Notamacropus eugenii: one gene and its partner. Each later gene encodes a partner of the first gene's protein in a complex. Links are inferred from orthologs where the notes say so. Each region holds a gene or a part of one and is shown on either strand. Other genes may lie near its edges.

Region 1 (8,027 bases):
GCCCTCCTTTCGTACCAGAGAAGTCTGAGTTTTTTCTTTTTTCTTTTGTGGGGTGTTGCTATTATACAATATTATGCATACATTTTATGCATTTCTGAGTTTCTAAACTTTTTTTGCATGTTGTCTGCTGCCCTTCGTGTATCATCTGTGGCTTCTGCAAAACCCCAAAATTCCCATTTAATTTCTTATGCCAGTTCACTATATATAGAAACCGTGATGAAGTTAGATACATTGGAAGAAGACAGATAGCTTCAAATGAAATTCAATTATTTAGTGCCTACTAAGTGTTTGAGGCAGGTAGTTGGCTTAGTGGGGAGTGTGCTAGGCCAGGAGTCAGGAAGACCTGAATTCAAATCTGGCCTCAGACACTTCCTAGCTGTGACTCTGGGTAAATCACTTAATCTCTGTTTGCCTTAATCTGCTGGAGAAGGAAATAGCAAAACACGCCTCTATCTTTGTAAAATAAAAAAAAAAAATAAACAAAAACTCTTGGACAATATTGGCGTGCTTTGGTCCATGGGCTCATGAAGAGCTGCACATGAAGGACTGAATGACAATATCAAAGTGTATGGGACTGTAGAAAAAGAGGTAGAAAATCAGACAGGAAGGCAATGAGTAACAAGTCATCAGCTAGCTAACTATCCATAAGGAGAAAGCAAGGTAGATATAGGGATAGACAGGTATGGAGGGAATTAAGGGGAGACACCAAGACTGGTGGAAAGGGACAATGGGGGATGGAGGGAAAGTCACAGGACAAGAGAAATGGGAGCAGAGAGCCCCAGACGGCCTTCCATTATCACAATTCCTCCATCACTAGACTCTTACCTTGGGGTACAACTGAAGAACCAGCACGGGTCCAGGAGGCTGGGGGCCGGGGCCGCCTCTGCCAGCGGCAATAAATCGTACTATGTTGTCATGCTGCAGGCCAGATAACTCGTAGAGTGCCCTTTCTGCCTGGAATTGGGGTGCCGCCCAAGGGGGGAAGGCTTTGATGGCCACCGGCTCCCTTTGGAGGTGTCCTGCCCATACCACTGTATGGCCTCCCTCTTGTAGGATCTGAACAAAAGGGGACAATATGCTAAGGGGGTTGGATTCACCACCTTTTCTTTGGGCTTCTAGCCTATTCATTGCTTCTTGCCCTCATCCCTCATCAACCTATCTATCACAGCAAAGGAACGATCTAGGGCCCAATCCTTGGAATTGAGGCATTAGGATTTTTGTCTTCCACCCTCCACTTCCCCACCATGACATGGGGAACAGAGACCTGAGAGAAGCATAACTCCTCCAGCTCTGGCAACTCCTGGCTCCAACTGCTGCCTGGTTCCGGGTCTAGTTCCTGGCCCCCCGAGGCCCTAAGAGCCTTCCACTGTCGAAGGGCTGGAGATACAGGTGGTGGTGGGGGTGCCATAGGGTAGGGAGGCAAGGGGCCAGCATGCACAGAACCAGGGGCTTGGGAGGTACAAGGTTCTTGAGAGGTAATGGGAAGGGATTGGAGGAAATGGAGGTCATGGGCCAAGACCACGGGCAGGAAGTAAAAAGGCCTTGAGGATTACTGAGGACAGAGGGATGATAGGGACTACTATCTAGCGGAGGCTGGGGGCAGAGAAAGGTCAGAGGACATGGCTCCATGCTACAGAGGACATGGTCATGGCAGAGGGGCAAAGGGCCCAGAGAGTACCTGGGAGGTGTTTGTGTGTATGTGGGTGATACAAAAAAGCATCAGAAGGATGCCCAAAGGGCATTGGGGGGGAGAGGGGTGACAGGGGTCAAGTCTGTACCCAAGATGCTGCTGCCCAGCATAAGAAGGAGAAACAGCCCCAGCAGAGACACCACCACCAGAAAGGACTCCCCTGGACAGAAAAAGAATAAATTTAGGACTGGAGGAAGGGAATACTCTAGAATATTCCCAGCCTCCCCTTCCCTTGGGGAAGAAAGACATAGATCCTGGGAACCCATGCTCTGGGTTCTTTATCCCCTTCCCATTGCTTCCATAGAATTTTTCCTGTTATCTTCTTGTCACCAGGGTAAAAAACATCCCAAGGTCAGGAGGAGGGAGTAGGAGGCTTGGACTGGGAGGAATATGGACAGAGGGAAAACTGGGCATGGCCCTCCTCCCAGTTACAATCCAATCCCCACTCTCCCCCGCCTTGTACACACAACCCCAGCCTAGCTTTCCAGCCTAGACACTTGGGCTCCAGAGTAGGGATTACCAGGTGGAGATTGGGGACCCTGAGAGTTGGGGGTCCTTGAGATCTCTGGAGGTGGCAGGTGACTGTAATTAGCATTGCAGAGATCAGTGCCACAAGAGCAGGTGAAGAGGGTGGAGCCAGGGCTTGGGTGGGCACGGCGGGCTGGCTCACACCGGGGGGATTCACAACCCAGCTCATCACTGTCTCGGCAACCTGTTTGGGATGGGAAGGAGAAGGGGACAGAAGGCGATAAAGCCCACTTTTAGGGGACCTTTCTCCTGCTTTTTTCTTGGAAGTGTCCCTTCAATCTCTGAAATGGCCTTTCTTCCCTTATAGATGTGCTATCATTCCTCTCAGAGAAGCTAGCTTCGCCCTCCCCATGTCTCATTTCTGTAACAGCCCTCTCCTCCCCTTACATCCCTGCCAACTTACTTGGCCACTCACCCTGCATCTCCAGCTGAGCCCCATCCTGAGTCAGATTCCATATTCCAAAGCAACAGTGGCTGTAGAGGCAGCGGATACTCCTGGGGGGCCCTGGTCCTGCATCTAGTAGCTCCCCCAGGGCCCTTGTGCTGCCTTGTACCCCAGGACCCTCAAAGAAAAGACAAGTCCGGTGACCTGGTGGGGCTGAGAACAAGATAAAGGCAGGGAAGAAGGAAGGTGGGATTATACCCCAGACAGACAAACATCTAGTCAAAGAGAAAACTCATATCACATCTCAGGATCAAGGTGGAAAAGCCAGGAAGTCAGCAGCTGTCTAAAATAAGACCCCCTCCCCCTTTGCCTTCACTCAACTCTCTCTAAGAGTCAACGAGTCAATTATCTCAAATGTCTCCCCACCCAGTCTGTCTCAGGGGTAACCTGCTTTGAAAGCCAGAAAGCCAGTTGAACAACCCATTCCTGTAGATACTTACCCTGCACAGCTGCAGGGAGAAGCATCCAAAACCCTAAGGTGCCCAACATGACTGAGGAGGGGGTCTGAAGGAGAAGGTTTCGGAGAGGTTGAGCTAATGTTGGCGTTTTCCCTTTGACCGCCTGGCACCGTGGGGCTCTCAGATCCCACCGTCCCCAACTCCTCCTCCCTGCCCGCCCCCACCCTCCTTCCCCAGCCTGTGTGGGGGAGACTGCAGCTGTGGGAGCGGTGGGGATGGGGGGGAGGAAGGAGAGGAAGGGAGGAGAACGACCAATCTGAGATTCTCCAGCCTCTTCATGCACTCCTTCCTTGTCTGGTCAGAAGGAGTGGGGGGCTTTGATGTTTAACTGAAAACTCAGAGATACCTCTTTTTTATAACTTTTTCTCCTTTTTGTGGCACAAAGAAAAGGTGTGGGACTGCCTGAAGGGAGAGAGCCAAGGCGCAGTCTTCAGTTGCTAGAAATCCCAAGTATTCCCTCCAAAGATCCCTCAACTGGCTGCATGCCTCCTCCTCCCAACCAGGCCTCAGTTTTCCCCATGATTCACCAAAATATCCAGGAGATCATGGCCTCAATACACCCATTAGAATGAGGACCCAGTTTGGCCTTTTAGAGGTTTCAGACTCAGTTGAGGAGACAGTTATCCAGGGGCTATGTTGTAATTTAGTCTAGTACCACAAGAGGTCAGCGCACCCATGGGGGGAAGGAGGGGTGGTGCCATCTAGGTGTAAACCCTAAGTCAATGAAATCAGTCAATCAACAGGTATTTACTAATTGTCTATTAACTGATAAATATTCACTGGGCACCTACACTCCTGTATTAGTTAGGCACTGTAAAAGACAGAAAAAAACCTCTCCCCTTAATTCTGCTCTCACTATCCCCTTTCTCCCTGATTCATTACATTTAAATTTCTAGGAAAAAAAGTTGTTTGTGCTCAAAACCTGCACTTCCCTGCTACCTGCTGTATTCACAGTCCTTTGCATTCTGGCTTAGAGAAGCTGGACTGTATCCCAAATGCAGTGACTGGGATGGCGAGAAGACAGAAGAATATGTAATGATTAAATAAAGGGATGCATGATCAGTGCCTGGGACACAGTAGACACTTAATCAATGCTTGTTGACTTCTTAGACTTTAGCAGGAAAATCAGAAGATTTGTCAGGGGGGTGAGAGGATATAGTCATCATAATAGTTAGGATTTATATTTTTTATAGTATATATTTTTATACTATATATGATATATATTATATATAATATATATTATATAATATATATTTACATAGTATATTTATACTGTGTACCAGATGCTGCCCTAAGCTCTTTACAAATATTATCTCAGCTGATATCACTGCAACCCTGGGAGGTAGGGGATAATGATAATAATAATAGTATTATATATGTAACTATATATAATATATAATGTCTTCATTTTACCATAAAGGAAACTGAGGCAATAGAGGTTAAGTGACTTACCCAAAGTCTCACAGCTAGTAAGAATCTGAGATCAGATTTGAACTCAAGTTTCCTTGCTTCAGACACAGTGCTCTGTCCACTATGCTGCTTAAATGCCACTATTATGATTATCGTTATGATTAGGAACACAGCAGCACTGAAAAATTCCTATCAATAACAGCTATTCCAAAGAAGAACTGCCTCTCATGAGATAGCCAATTCCCCATCATGGGAGTCTTTCAAGCAGAGGTTGGCTGAACATGGCCTAGGAAGACCTTAGTTCAAAAAGGCCATGGTCTCCTGGAGCATCCAGAGCGATCTCCACTTGTCCTAATGAATAGCTGGGCCACTGGACCCAGATGACTGTGGAGGAGAAAGTGAGGCTGGTGACTTTGCACAGCCCTCCCTCACTTAAATCCAATTCACTTGCATGTCATGGCATCACCTTTCCTGATGTCACGGTCCTCTTCGAGAAGAAAGGACAAACATCAGATGAGCAAGGCAGTGTTGGACAGTTAAGGGTTAGGCCAGTCAGCCTCTGTTCTTCCATCTCTAAGATTTCTCCATTCCCCATCACTCTATAGAACCTGTTCTTTCAAAAGTCAACACAGATTCTCTTTTCATCACCATAGGAGCATTTGTTGTAGATCTGAAAGGTACTAACCATCTAACCAAGGTGACCCTCAGGACCCTGTCCTGGGCCCCCTTCCCTTGTCCCTCTATATTGATAATCTCTTCAACTCCCATGAATTTAATTATCATTTCTATTTTTGTTGCTTGTTCTTCTATCTCAAAGAGGACCATGAAATCAGGAAGGTAATGTCTTGACTTGCAAGTGAATTGGGTTAAAGTGAGGGAGGGCTGTGCAAAGCTACCAGCCTCACTTTCTCCTCCAGAGACATCTGGGTCCAGTGGCAAGATATAGATGAGGATGACTGGAGATGATCCTGGATGCACTAGGAGACCTTGGTCTTTCTAAACTAAGGTTTTTCCCAGGTCTCCGTTTGACTGAGGCAATACCCACTCAATGATTAAGTCCAGGTAAGAAATGAGGCAAAGAATGACTTCTTTAACCTGGTCAAAAAAAAAAAAATCAATCTGGGAGGACAAGATCCTCAGAGTTTCTGGTTGAAACAGAAACAATTGCTATTTATAGTAATTATAAACAAATAATTCAAAATAACTCATTTATAATATTTCTACATTATTATCAAACCTACCTATCCTGCCCTAACCTGTCTACAAACCTCAAGTCTCCCATCTCCAACTACTTTTCAGACATCTCAAATTAGATGTCCAGTAGACATCTTGAAATACGTCCAAAATATAACTCATATCCCCTAAATCCTCCCCCACCCTTTCAATCATTTTCAGTCCTGTATGACCCCATTGTGAATTTTCTTGGCCAAGTATCTGGAGTGGTTTGCCATTTCCTTTTCCAGCTTATTTTACAGATGAGGAAACTGAGGCAAACAGGGTAAAGTGACTTATCCAGTGTCACACAATAGTAAGTAAATGCTTATTGATTTGTCCAACTTTCTTCATTTTACAGATAAAGAAACCGAGGCCCAGACAGGTCAAGGATGCTTTTAGAGTCGCACTGGTGTTGAGGTTGAAACCCCGGTATGCCAAAAACTGTTGAGGTGTCATGATGTGTTGTGGTGGAACTGTCTCAAGAATTCAGTCAGACCACCTCCAATCCAAGTATAGGCATTTATTGAGATTGATGCCTCTCATGAAGCAGGCTAAGTTCCAAGAGGAACCAGCAACTTCAGAGAAAACAAGATGGATTCTTATAGGGTAAAGATACCATTACATAACAGAAATTTACATAGAATATAGGAATCTGATTAATATTTAAAAGGCAGGAGGACCTTGTTAAAGGATTAGGTAATGGAGGAGGGGTCCCATCTATGGTTTGGTGGTTAAACATTCTGGCCATGCTGCCTTCCAATTAGCCAGCTATTGTGGTCCTGTCTGGTCAAGAGAGATAATTAGGTATTGTGGTCCTGTCTTAGGCTAGATGGATGATGTGATTGTGACTGACCACAAGAACACCCCTGTTTCTGTGGGAATGGGTCTGGGGGTCATGGCTGGGTAGAGGCAGTGGCTAGGTTCCTATGCCTGCTGTTTCTGTGAGGACTATGAGTTTCAGGGACACGCCTGAGCAGTGAGGCATATGTATGAAGTCAGGACATTGGTGAGGGCAGGGGCTAGGTAGGTACAGCAGGCCTGTAATGAATTTAGACTACTGGGGCTGGGGGCAGCTCTACTAGGACTCCATTATTCCCCCCTCCAAGAGCTGGGACCCAAATTCATTTGGGAAAAAAGAAGGTCTCTGCTTCAGGAGTTTCTTCAGGCTGAAAAGCAGTTGTAGAGCTGACCCTGCTTGGATGGCTCTCTGGAGAACATTAACTGGAACTGAGAATGGTCACATCCAGGGGATGATGGGTGAGTATAAACTGTCATCCACTGTTTGCTGCGGACTGTAAGTGAATTGGCCTGTAGTCTGAGAGATACAAATCTTTTTTTTTTTTTTTAAATTTTAACATTTATTTTCACAAAATTTTGGGTTACAAATTTTCTCCCCTTTTATCCCCTCCCCCCCAAACCCAAGCATTCTAATTGCCCCTGTGACCAATCTGCTCTCTCCTCTATCCTTCCTCCCTGCCCTTGTCTCCGTCTTCTCTTTTGTCCTGTAGGGCCAGATAGCTTTCTTGACCCCTTAACCTGTATTTCTTATTTCCCAGTGGTAAGAACATTACATTTGATCCTAACACTTTGAGTTCCAGCTTCTTTAGCTCCCTCCCTCCCCACCCCTTCCCTTTGGAAGGCAAGCAATTCAATATAGGCCAAATCTGTGTAGTTTTGCAAATGATTACCATACTAGTTGTGTTGTACAGGACTAATTATATTTCCCTCCATCCTATCCTGACCCCCATTACTTCTATTCTCTTATGATCCTTTCCCTCCCCGTGAGTGTCGACCTCGGATTACATTCTCCTCCCCATGCCCTCCCCTCCATCCTCCCCCCCACCCTGCTTGTGCCCCTGTCCCCCACTCTCCTGTATTATGAGATAGGTTTTCCTATCAAAATGAGTGTGCATTTTATTCTTTCCTTTAGTGGAATGTGATGAGAGTAGACCTCATGTTTTTCTCTTGCCTCCCCTCTTTATCCCTCTACTAATAAGTCTTTTGCTTGCCTCTTTTATGAGAGATAATTTGCCCCATTCAATTTCTCAATTTCTCCTACCAATATATTTCTCTCTCACTGCTTGATTTCATTTTTTTTTTAAGATATGATCCCATCCTCTTCAATTCACTCTGTGCACTCTGTCTCTATGTATGTGTGCGTGTGTGCGTGTGTATGTGTGTACTCCCACCCAGTACCCAGATACTGAAATGTTTCAAGAGTTACAAATATTGTCTTTCCATGTAGGAATGTAAACAGTTCAACTTTAGTAAGTCCCTTATG
Region 2 (7,954 bases), on another chromosome or scaffold:
TCCCAGCACATAGAACTGATGACATTGGCTGGAGGGTGGGGGGAAGAAAGGTCTCTTCCCTTCTCCTCCCTCCCCAGTGCATGCCCTAGAGCAGACCTCGGGGATCACTAGACAGAAGATGAAGGGTCTCCTGGCCTTTGAAGACCAGGCAGCCCCATCCCTCACCTCACTTCCCACCTCCCAGCTCCAGAGAGGCTCAGGGGGTAAAGTCTTGGACTTGGGTTTGTCTCATATTTACTAGTGACCTTGGACAAATCAGTAGACCTGAGTTTTAAAGTCTGTATTTAAACCATGGGGATAAAAATTTTGTCCCGCAGATTGGGGGGAAGGGGTGGATGGGGTGCATGTTGTCTTGGTGTAGGGGGTGGGGAGAGATGGGGACAATATTTGGAGTTCAAAATCTTGTGGAAGTGAATGTTGTAAAGTGAAAATAAATTATATATTTAATTTTTTAAAAAATTCTGTCCTGTCACAGATCTGTTGCCCCTAAAACAACAAACAAATCCCAAACCACAATTGTAAGGACCAGATAAAAGACCCAGCCTTCAATTACCTGCTTTGTGGATTTACCCAAAGCCCCCTCTCTACCATTCATCCAGGCCACCCACGTGGTACTGGGGAAGGGGTTAGGGCTGGGCACAAATGCTAACGCCCAGTCCAGGGGGTTAAAAAAACACCACATTCTGCTGTACTGAGCATGGTCTTGTGGACAGCAAGCATGCCTCAGAACCAGGAAGACCCAGGTTTAAGTCCCACCCAGTGACTGTGACACCCTGAGCAAGTCACTCACAGACAAGTTGCAGAGATGGTGCCAATGTGTTTTGGCAAAGGATGAGAATATCACCTGTCAATGAAATTGCAGGTGTCATTCCCTTCTCCATTTTGTATTTATTATCTGGGTCTTTTCTAAGAGCACAGGTCTCTTTCCTCTGGGGGCTTCAGCTTCCTCGAGAAAGGAGTGAACTAAGGGGCCTCTGAGCTCCTTTCCAGTTCTGGAAAGGCTAGAACTGAGAGCAGAGAAGACACAAAAGTTCCCTGGGACCTCACCATTCAGAATGGTGACTTTGTATAGGGCTGGGAGAGCCTGCTCCCAGTTTCAGAATGTGGAGCCTGACTTGAACCTCATAACTCAGCTAGTGTTTCCACGATCTTAGACAAACCAGTCTCCTTCCTCTGCTAAACTAGCCCAGGGTTACTGTCCAGAGCCCAGGCTGTATGGGGGCTTGCCTCCCCTTGCAGCATCCTTAAAATTGGCCTGCTTACTCAGGCAGCATGGTAAAGCCTATGAACCCCTCCTGAGAATGTTTTCTTTATATTAAATTTCATTTAGAGGTGAGCAAAAATAAAGATGTCATTTTCCCCCCTCCATCTAAGTTCACAGTTCACTGAAATCTATCCACAGACTTCAGGTTAAGAATCTAGCCCTTGCACTTAAAAAAAATTCCCAATGGTCTTTTAAGGCAAAATGTCTTCCATCCCCAGAGAAAGAACTTTGGGATTCAATTGCAGTTTGTAGCAGATCATTTTCTTTTGTATTACATTTTGGTTTGTTATATAATTTTTCCCACTCACTTCAATTCTACTACACAACATGACTATAGTGAAAATGTATTTAATAGGAATGTATGTATAGAACCTATATAAAATTGTATGCTGTCTTGGGGAGGGAGGAGAAAAATAATCTAAGTTATATGGTAGTGATTGTAAAACACTGAAAAGAAATAAAATATAAAAACAAAACCAAAAAGAATCTAGCCCTTGCCCTCAAAGACAATATCTGGGGTTTACTGAGGAAGAGAGATCAGCCCTAGACCAGCCCTGGACAAAGTCTAGCTGGTCAACTCCCTGGGCAGGCTGCCCTGGCATGCTACATGTTGGGCTTGGAGCCCAGAACTTAACTCTAGCTATCCTCCCTGCCCCACCCACCCAAGGCCTGTTAAATCCATTCTAAAGCCCGGAGTCTTAGAAACTTGGAGATCCCTTGGCTCTCGTAGACAATGAACAAAGTCAACCATGAATCGCTAGTTCATAGGATGTGGGGCTAGTCTCATCCCCTACTGTTTTTGTTTTTTTTTAAATACAAAGGATGAAGATGAAACAGGCCCAGAAAGGGGCAGCAGACATACTAGAACCAGAATCAAACCCGAGTCCTCTGATTCCAAATCCCAAGCATTCTCTAGACCAGAGAACCAAGAGAACACCACTGCCACTAGCTAGAAGAACCCTCTAAGCTGTAAGAGACTGCTATTCCTCTTTCTGGGATCCAAGTATCCTGGATCACCCCCTTCACTAGGACCTAAGAATACAAAATGCTTTTTAGAAGGAGCCTCCGAGGCTGGTTGCAGACTAGGGATCACTCCCCACCACGCCTAAAATGTCCTCCAGCCTTGCCCCTAAGGACATGCTTGCACATGGCACACCTACCTTCTTCTAGATGTAGAACCACGAGACTCTGCCCGCCTGGCTCCACCAGTCGTTCCCCCAAATGCTGCAGAGAGAGGTGAGCAACTCCTGTGCCCCCTGGGGGGCAGATCCCAAAGGTGGCCAGGTCCTGCTTGTCCCAGCGGGCCTGTCTCAGTGCTTCCACAAAGCCCCTCTCATAACCACGCAGAGCCCCCACCACCTGGAGGGGATCTGAGGCCCCATCCCCACCCCTGCCTACTTTCACCCAGCACACTGGGTTTTTTAGGCCTCCCAGGGGCCAAGGATGGGACTTGGGCCCAGTCCATAGATCTGAAGTGCCACTGTCCGAGGCAAATGAGGGCCAAGGGAGGTGGACTTCACTCCCAGGGGTCTTTTGGCTCCTTAAGGATGAAGATCCATCTGAATCAGGAAGCCCCGGCAGCTTGTCTGACCTCTCCCTCCTCTGGTCCTGGGCCGCCAGGCTCTTGGACAGAGTTGGTAGTAGTTTGGTGTTGGCATCTGATTGCTCCTTCATGGGGGTCTCTCCCCTCAGCACAGCAAACATCACTGACAGGAGCAGGAGCAAACCCACAAGTGAGCCCTTCATCTTGGGCTGACTGTGACCGAGCCTTTGGCTAACTGGGGCTTTTATGAGACTAAGGTGGCAGAAATGCCTTCTCCAGACTGTTTATGAGGGAGGGAAGGATGATTATCTCTTCCCAACGGAGGTGACCTTGAATTGACAATGCAGAGCACATCCTTTGGGACCCTGGAGACCAACAGTGTAAAAGTGAGGGGAGGCCCTTTCAAAGGGTTCTTTCTGTTCTATTTTTGGCTGGGTATCTTGCTTCTTACAAGTGATATGAATTTCAAGCTGTTGACCAGATTTGTCAAAATACTGTCCTTGACTGATTTTTTAAGAAATGTGAGTGAGAATCTGAGCTGGGAGTGTACAGTTTAGAAAGACTGGGGGACAGACAGTGTGGGGAGGAGGCAGCTGCACCCATGGCAGAGGGACTGGAGGAAGGAAAGGTGTGTAGGGGGCAAATCCTGGTGACCTGGTCTCTGTGGAACTCCACTGGGGACTAGGAAGCTAGAGCCTTATCCCTGGGCTGTGTGCATTGGTCAGTTCTCACCAAAGGCCAACTATGGGTGTACAAGGGACACAAAATAGCTAGAAGCCTTGCTTTGGACAAGCTGGGCAATCGGCTTTTTTCAACCTCTCCTAGGGACAGTTAATGGAGAAACAAGAGAGCTGGAAGAGGCCTTAAAGACAAACCAACAGCTTTGTGGCAGGGAGAGAAGTACTGGCTCTTGGGTCAGAGACAGGGGTGTCCAGTCGCCTCAGACGCTCACAACCGAGATGACCAAGGGTGAGTCACTCACTCTCCCTGGGCCTGTGTCCTCATCCATAAAAAGTGGGCTACTTCAAGCTCTAGATTTGTGAACCCGGTCAGCCATTGTACATTAATTGGGTATGCTCTATGGTAGGCACCATGCAAGGCCCTAGGGGTACCCAAGAATAAGTTGCCTCACTGTAATGAGAGTGCCCCATACCAGGTGCACATAGTACAAATGGGAGGAGGAAAGAATGGGTCATAGAAAGGCCTTCTGTAGAAGGCAGGATCAAAGCCGGGGATTCTGGTCCAACCTCTCATTTCATGGGGCCTGAAGCCACGCAGGGAGTGGGCATCCAAGATGGGATTTGAACCTGCTCCCTCTAATAACCAAACCACTGCATCCTTTTAGATTGCTTTGGGAAACCAGAAATCCCAAGAGCCCACGCTGCTTTTGTGAGTCACTGACTATCCATCGATCAAGGTAGGGCTGCTCGGAGCTGCGGTCTTAGTTCACAAAGGTGCCGCCATCATGATGAGTGACACAGGGCTAAGCAGTGCCTAGGGGTAAAGTGGGTAATAAGGATGGTGGTGACAATGGCGTAGACATTGAATGCAACCAAATGCTAACATTTACGACACAAGATGTACTTCTGTTGTTCAGTTGTTTCAGTTGTATCTGACTCTTCATGGCCCCATTTAGGGTTCTTTTGGCAGATACTGGAGCCATTTGCCATCTTCTCCAGCTCATTTTGCAGATGAGGAAACTGAGGCAAAGACTGACTTGGCCAGGGTCACACAGCTGAATTTGAACTCAGGAAGTCTTTCTGACTTCAGGCCTGGAGTTCTATGCACTATGGCGCCACCTAGCTGCCCCTAGGATATATACATTTTATAACTTTTTTAAAAAGCAAGAACAATGGTGGTATGTTGTAGAGTGTAGGTGATGAAGGCAGCTAAGTGCTAAAACATGACACAAGTCATATACTGGAGAACTTAACAAATGCTAGTGCTGAAAAGAATCTTCAAGGTCACCTCATAACTTACAGAGAAAAAGGGGGCATAGAAGGGCCAATGAATGACATGGGTGGTAAGGAAAATGAACTCAGAAACCCTGACGTACAGAAACAAATTCAATATTCTGAAATGTGGTGGGATAGGACTAAATTATAGTATCTTTTGCTGAAAAGACACAAAGCAGATTTAAAAGGGGACTGGATGGGGCTGGAGTAACATCACTAATCAAAAGGGTATGTTAGGGGCAGTTAGGTGGCACAGTAGATAGAGCACCAAACTTAAGAGCGAGTTCAAATCCAGCTTTAGACATCTACCAGCTTTGTGACCCTGGGCAAGTCACTTAACCCCAACTGCAGAAAGAAAGGGGAAGGAGAGGAAAAAGTAAAGAAAAATAGATGTTTCTGTGAATAAATCTAGGAGCCCAAGATAGGAAACATGGTGGAGAACCATGGATTAACGAGGATTAACGAGAGGGGGGAAAAGGAACAATATGGTGATGATATATACTACAGACCAACTGGATCAACTGGGATAGGGGTGAGGGAAGAAATTAAATTGGAAAGAAGATACAAAAGTGCACAATATACAGAAGCAAATGAGCACAGTAACCTTGTTTTCGATAAACCCAAAGATCTCAGCTACTGGGGCATGAACTCATTATTCAACAAAAAATATGAGGAAAACTGGAAAGTAGTATGGAGGAACTACATATAGACTAACATCTCATACTGTATACTAAGGTAAACTCAAAATGATCCAGACATAAAAGGCGGAGGATGGAAAACATGACCAGTCAGATCTATGGATAGAGGAAGAGTTCATGGCCAAACAAGATAGGGGGAAAGTAGATAAATTTACAAGAACCATTCTCCAACTGATAAACTGTCAAAGGTTATGAATGGGTGGTTTTTCAAAGGAATAGATCAAAATTATCAATGGCTACATAAAAAATATTCTATTTCTCACAGAGAAATGGAGATTAAAAGAACTCTAAGATATCTCTTCACACTCATCGGATTGACTAAGATGATAAAAAAGGAAGATGACAAATGCTGCGAGGGATGCAGGAAAACAGGTGCACTAATGCACTTGCGCTGTGAGCTAGTCAGGCATTTGGAACTATGCCAGAAAAGGTTATTAAACTGAACACACTCTGACCCAGCAATTCCTCTACTAGGTCTGTGCCCCAAAGAGATAAAAGAAAATGGGAAAGGATGCACGTGTACAAGAGCATTTGTAACAGCTTTTTATGTTATCAACAACTAGAAACTGAGGGGATGCTCAACAACTGGGGATGGTTGAGTGAGCTGTGGTATATGAATGCAATCAAATACTATTGTGCTGGTAAAAAATGAAAAAGATAGTTTAAAAAAAACTTGTATGAAATGATGCAAAATGAAGTGAGCAGAGAAACAACTCCTTAGAAACAAAGGTGTAATAAACTTTGAAGACTCTTAAGATTCCGATTATTCCAATGACCAGCAATTCCCAAGGCCTCCTAATGGAATATGCTATCAGCCAGCAGACTGAGCTGATGGACTCGAGCACAGACAAGTGCATTTTCTTCTTCGGGGACATACAGTTAATTCAGGAATTTATCTTGCATGTCTATACATATTTATAATGGTTTTTTTTTCTCTTGTCTTCTCAATATGTGGGGGACTGAGGAGGAAGAAGACAGTCAGAACTGAAAATAAAATTTAATAAAAGAAAATGGATACGAATGAGGAAGGGAAGCACTGTATTATAATGACTGCAGATTTCAACTACCTGGATCTCTGTGGAGTTCTCTTCAGATGCAGAGCAGTGTGTGACACAATTGGGACCATTTCATCCTTCAGAAGGTGGCAGGCACAATTCTGGGAGATAACTGCTGTTCTGCACCTTATTCTAACAAGGCAGGGTTTGTTTCTAAAATAGAAATGACAAGAACTCTGAGGGCCAATGACCACTTGGTCACTGAACTTGTGAAAAGGGGCGAGAGGGTGCAACCTCTAAGTGCACGTCACTCTGACAGGCATTTTAGGTGGTACATCAAATTTCAAAGAGTTGAGGGAAAGGACAGGTAGGATCTGATGGTACGATTGATTGCAAGGGGGAATCAGCTCAAGAATGGAAGCTCTCAAGCATGAGATTCTTGACTACAATAAATGGTTCCAGTAAGGATGAATAATTGTTAACATTAATATAGCCCTTCCTCTGTATGAGGCATTATGCTAAGTACTTTAAAGGACTATTTAATCCTTAAAACACCGGGATGAGGTACTATTTTTCCCATTTTATAGATGAGGAAACTGAGGCAAACAAGTTAAGTGACCTGCCTTGCATCACAAAACTACTAAGTTGTCTGAAGTAAAATCTGAACTCAGGTCTTCCTCACTCTAGGCCCAGTGCTCTAGCCACTGCACACAACAACCAACCCCATAAACAAAACAAAAAGATGCTTGAAGTTACTGATAGGGACATGTGGGGAACTCAATTTGCCACCAAAACTGCCTACACATAGAATATTAAAAAAGGCAGATACGACAGCTGAGTCACTGTCAGTGATTATAAGATCCTGGGGAACAAAAAGTACTATGGCAAGACATCTTAATTTTCAAAGGGTAAAATCAGCAAACCTAATTTTTACTCCTGCTAATGTTCTGGAGCATATTAAGATGGTTTCTCAGGGAAGCACTGATTACTAAGAACCAACATGGCTTCAGAAATGGGTCATGTCCCCACTGCATGGGTTTGTTCTGCCTAACTATGCCTCTTGGTGAGCGGGTTTGGGAAGGAGGGACTAGTGAGGGTGATATAAAAAAGAAAAGAGGAAATAAAAGAGGGCCATTGCAACATTTTAAAAATGTGCAGAGAACAGGAAAAGGTCAGATAAGCAGAACAACTTTGGAACTGTTGAGTTTATTACATAACTTTGAAAAGAAATGAAACCTTATGGAAGGGAGATTTATAGCTTGATAGGCATTCTTCTTTTTCTGTGCCTGTATGTAGGTGGAAACAGTCGTGTGATGAATTTGGGCAAATGAAGACAAATAATTTTTTCAGAGCAGGCTTTAGACTGGAAGGGCAGTTAGGCAACACAGTGCAGAGAGCACCAGACCTGGAGTCAGGAAAACTCATCTTCCTGAGTTCAAATCTGGCTTCAGACACTTACGAGCTGTGTGAACCTGGGCAAGTCACTTAATCCTATTTGC

The links.
Region 2: the proteins of AMHR2 (region 1) and AMH are in contact, whole or in part, in a crystal structure (PDB 7L0J), measured with the Homo sapiens proteins. The link is inferred for Notamacropus eugenii from reciprocal best matches to the Homo sapiens genes AMHR2 and AMH. Residues at the interface, in NP_065434.1 of Homo sapiens: Gly31, Val32, Arg33, Gly34, Ser35, Thr36, Thr38, Leu39, Phe62, Ile64, Glu75, Met76, Arg80, Asp81, Ser82, Glu84, Pro85, Ser95, Arg97, Ala98, Pro100, Ser101, Leu106, Thr108; in NP_000470.3 of Homo sapiens: Leu471, Arg472, Glu474, Val477, Leu478, Ile479, Pro480, Glu481, Thr482, Tyr483, Gln484, Lys534, Leu535, Ile537, Leu539, Glu542, Arg543, Ile544, Ser545, Ala546.

What each region holds. Positions count from the first base shown.
Region 1 is NC_092874.1:226,405,999-226,414,025, reverse strand, and holds the start of AMHR2 (anti-Muellerian hormone type-2 receptor), read right to left. Parts: upstream 3,260-8,027; 5' UTR 3,153-3,259; coding exon 3,104-3,152; intron 2,817-3,103; coding exon 2,634-2,816; intron 2,403-2,633; coding exon 2,211-2,402; intron 1,851-2,210; coding exon 1,779-1,850; intron 1,378-1,778; coding exon 1,265-1,377; intron 1,057-1,264; coding exon 826-1,056; intron 1-825. UniProt on the Homo sapiens protein: On ligand binding, forms a receptor complex consisting of two type II and two type I transmembrane serine/threonine kinases.
Region 2 is NC_092875.1:64,058,303-64,066,256, forward strand, and holds the start of AMH (muellerian-inhibiting factor), read right to left. Parts: upstream 3,300-7,954; 5' UTR 3,011-3,299; coding exon 2,425-3,010; intron 460-2,424; exon of another isoform or gene 1-459. UniProt on the Homo sapiens protein: Plays an important role in several reproductive functions. Induces Muellerian duct regression during male fetal sexual differentiation. Also plays a role in Leydig cell differentiation and function.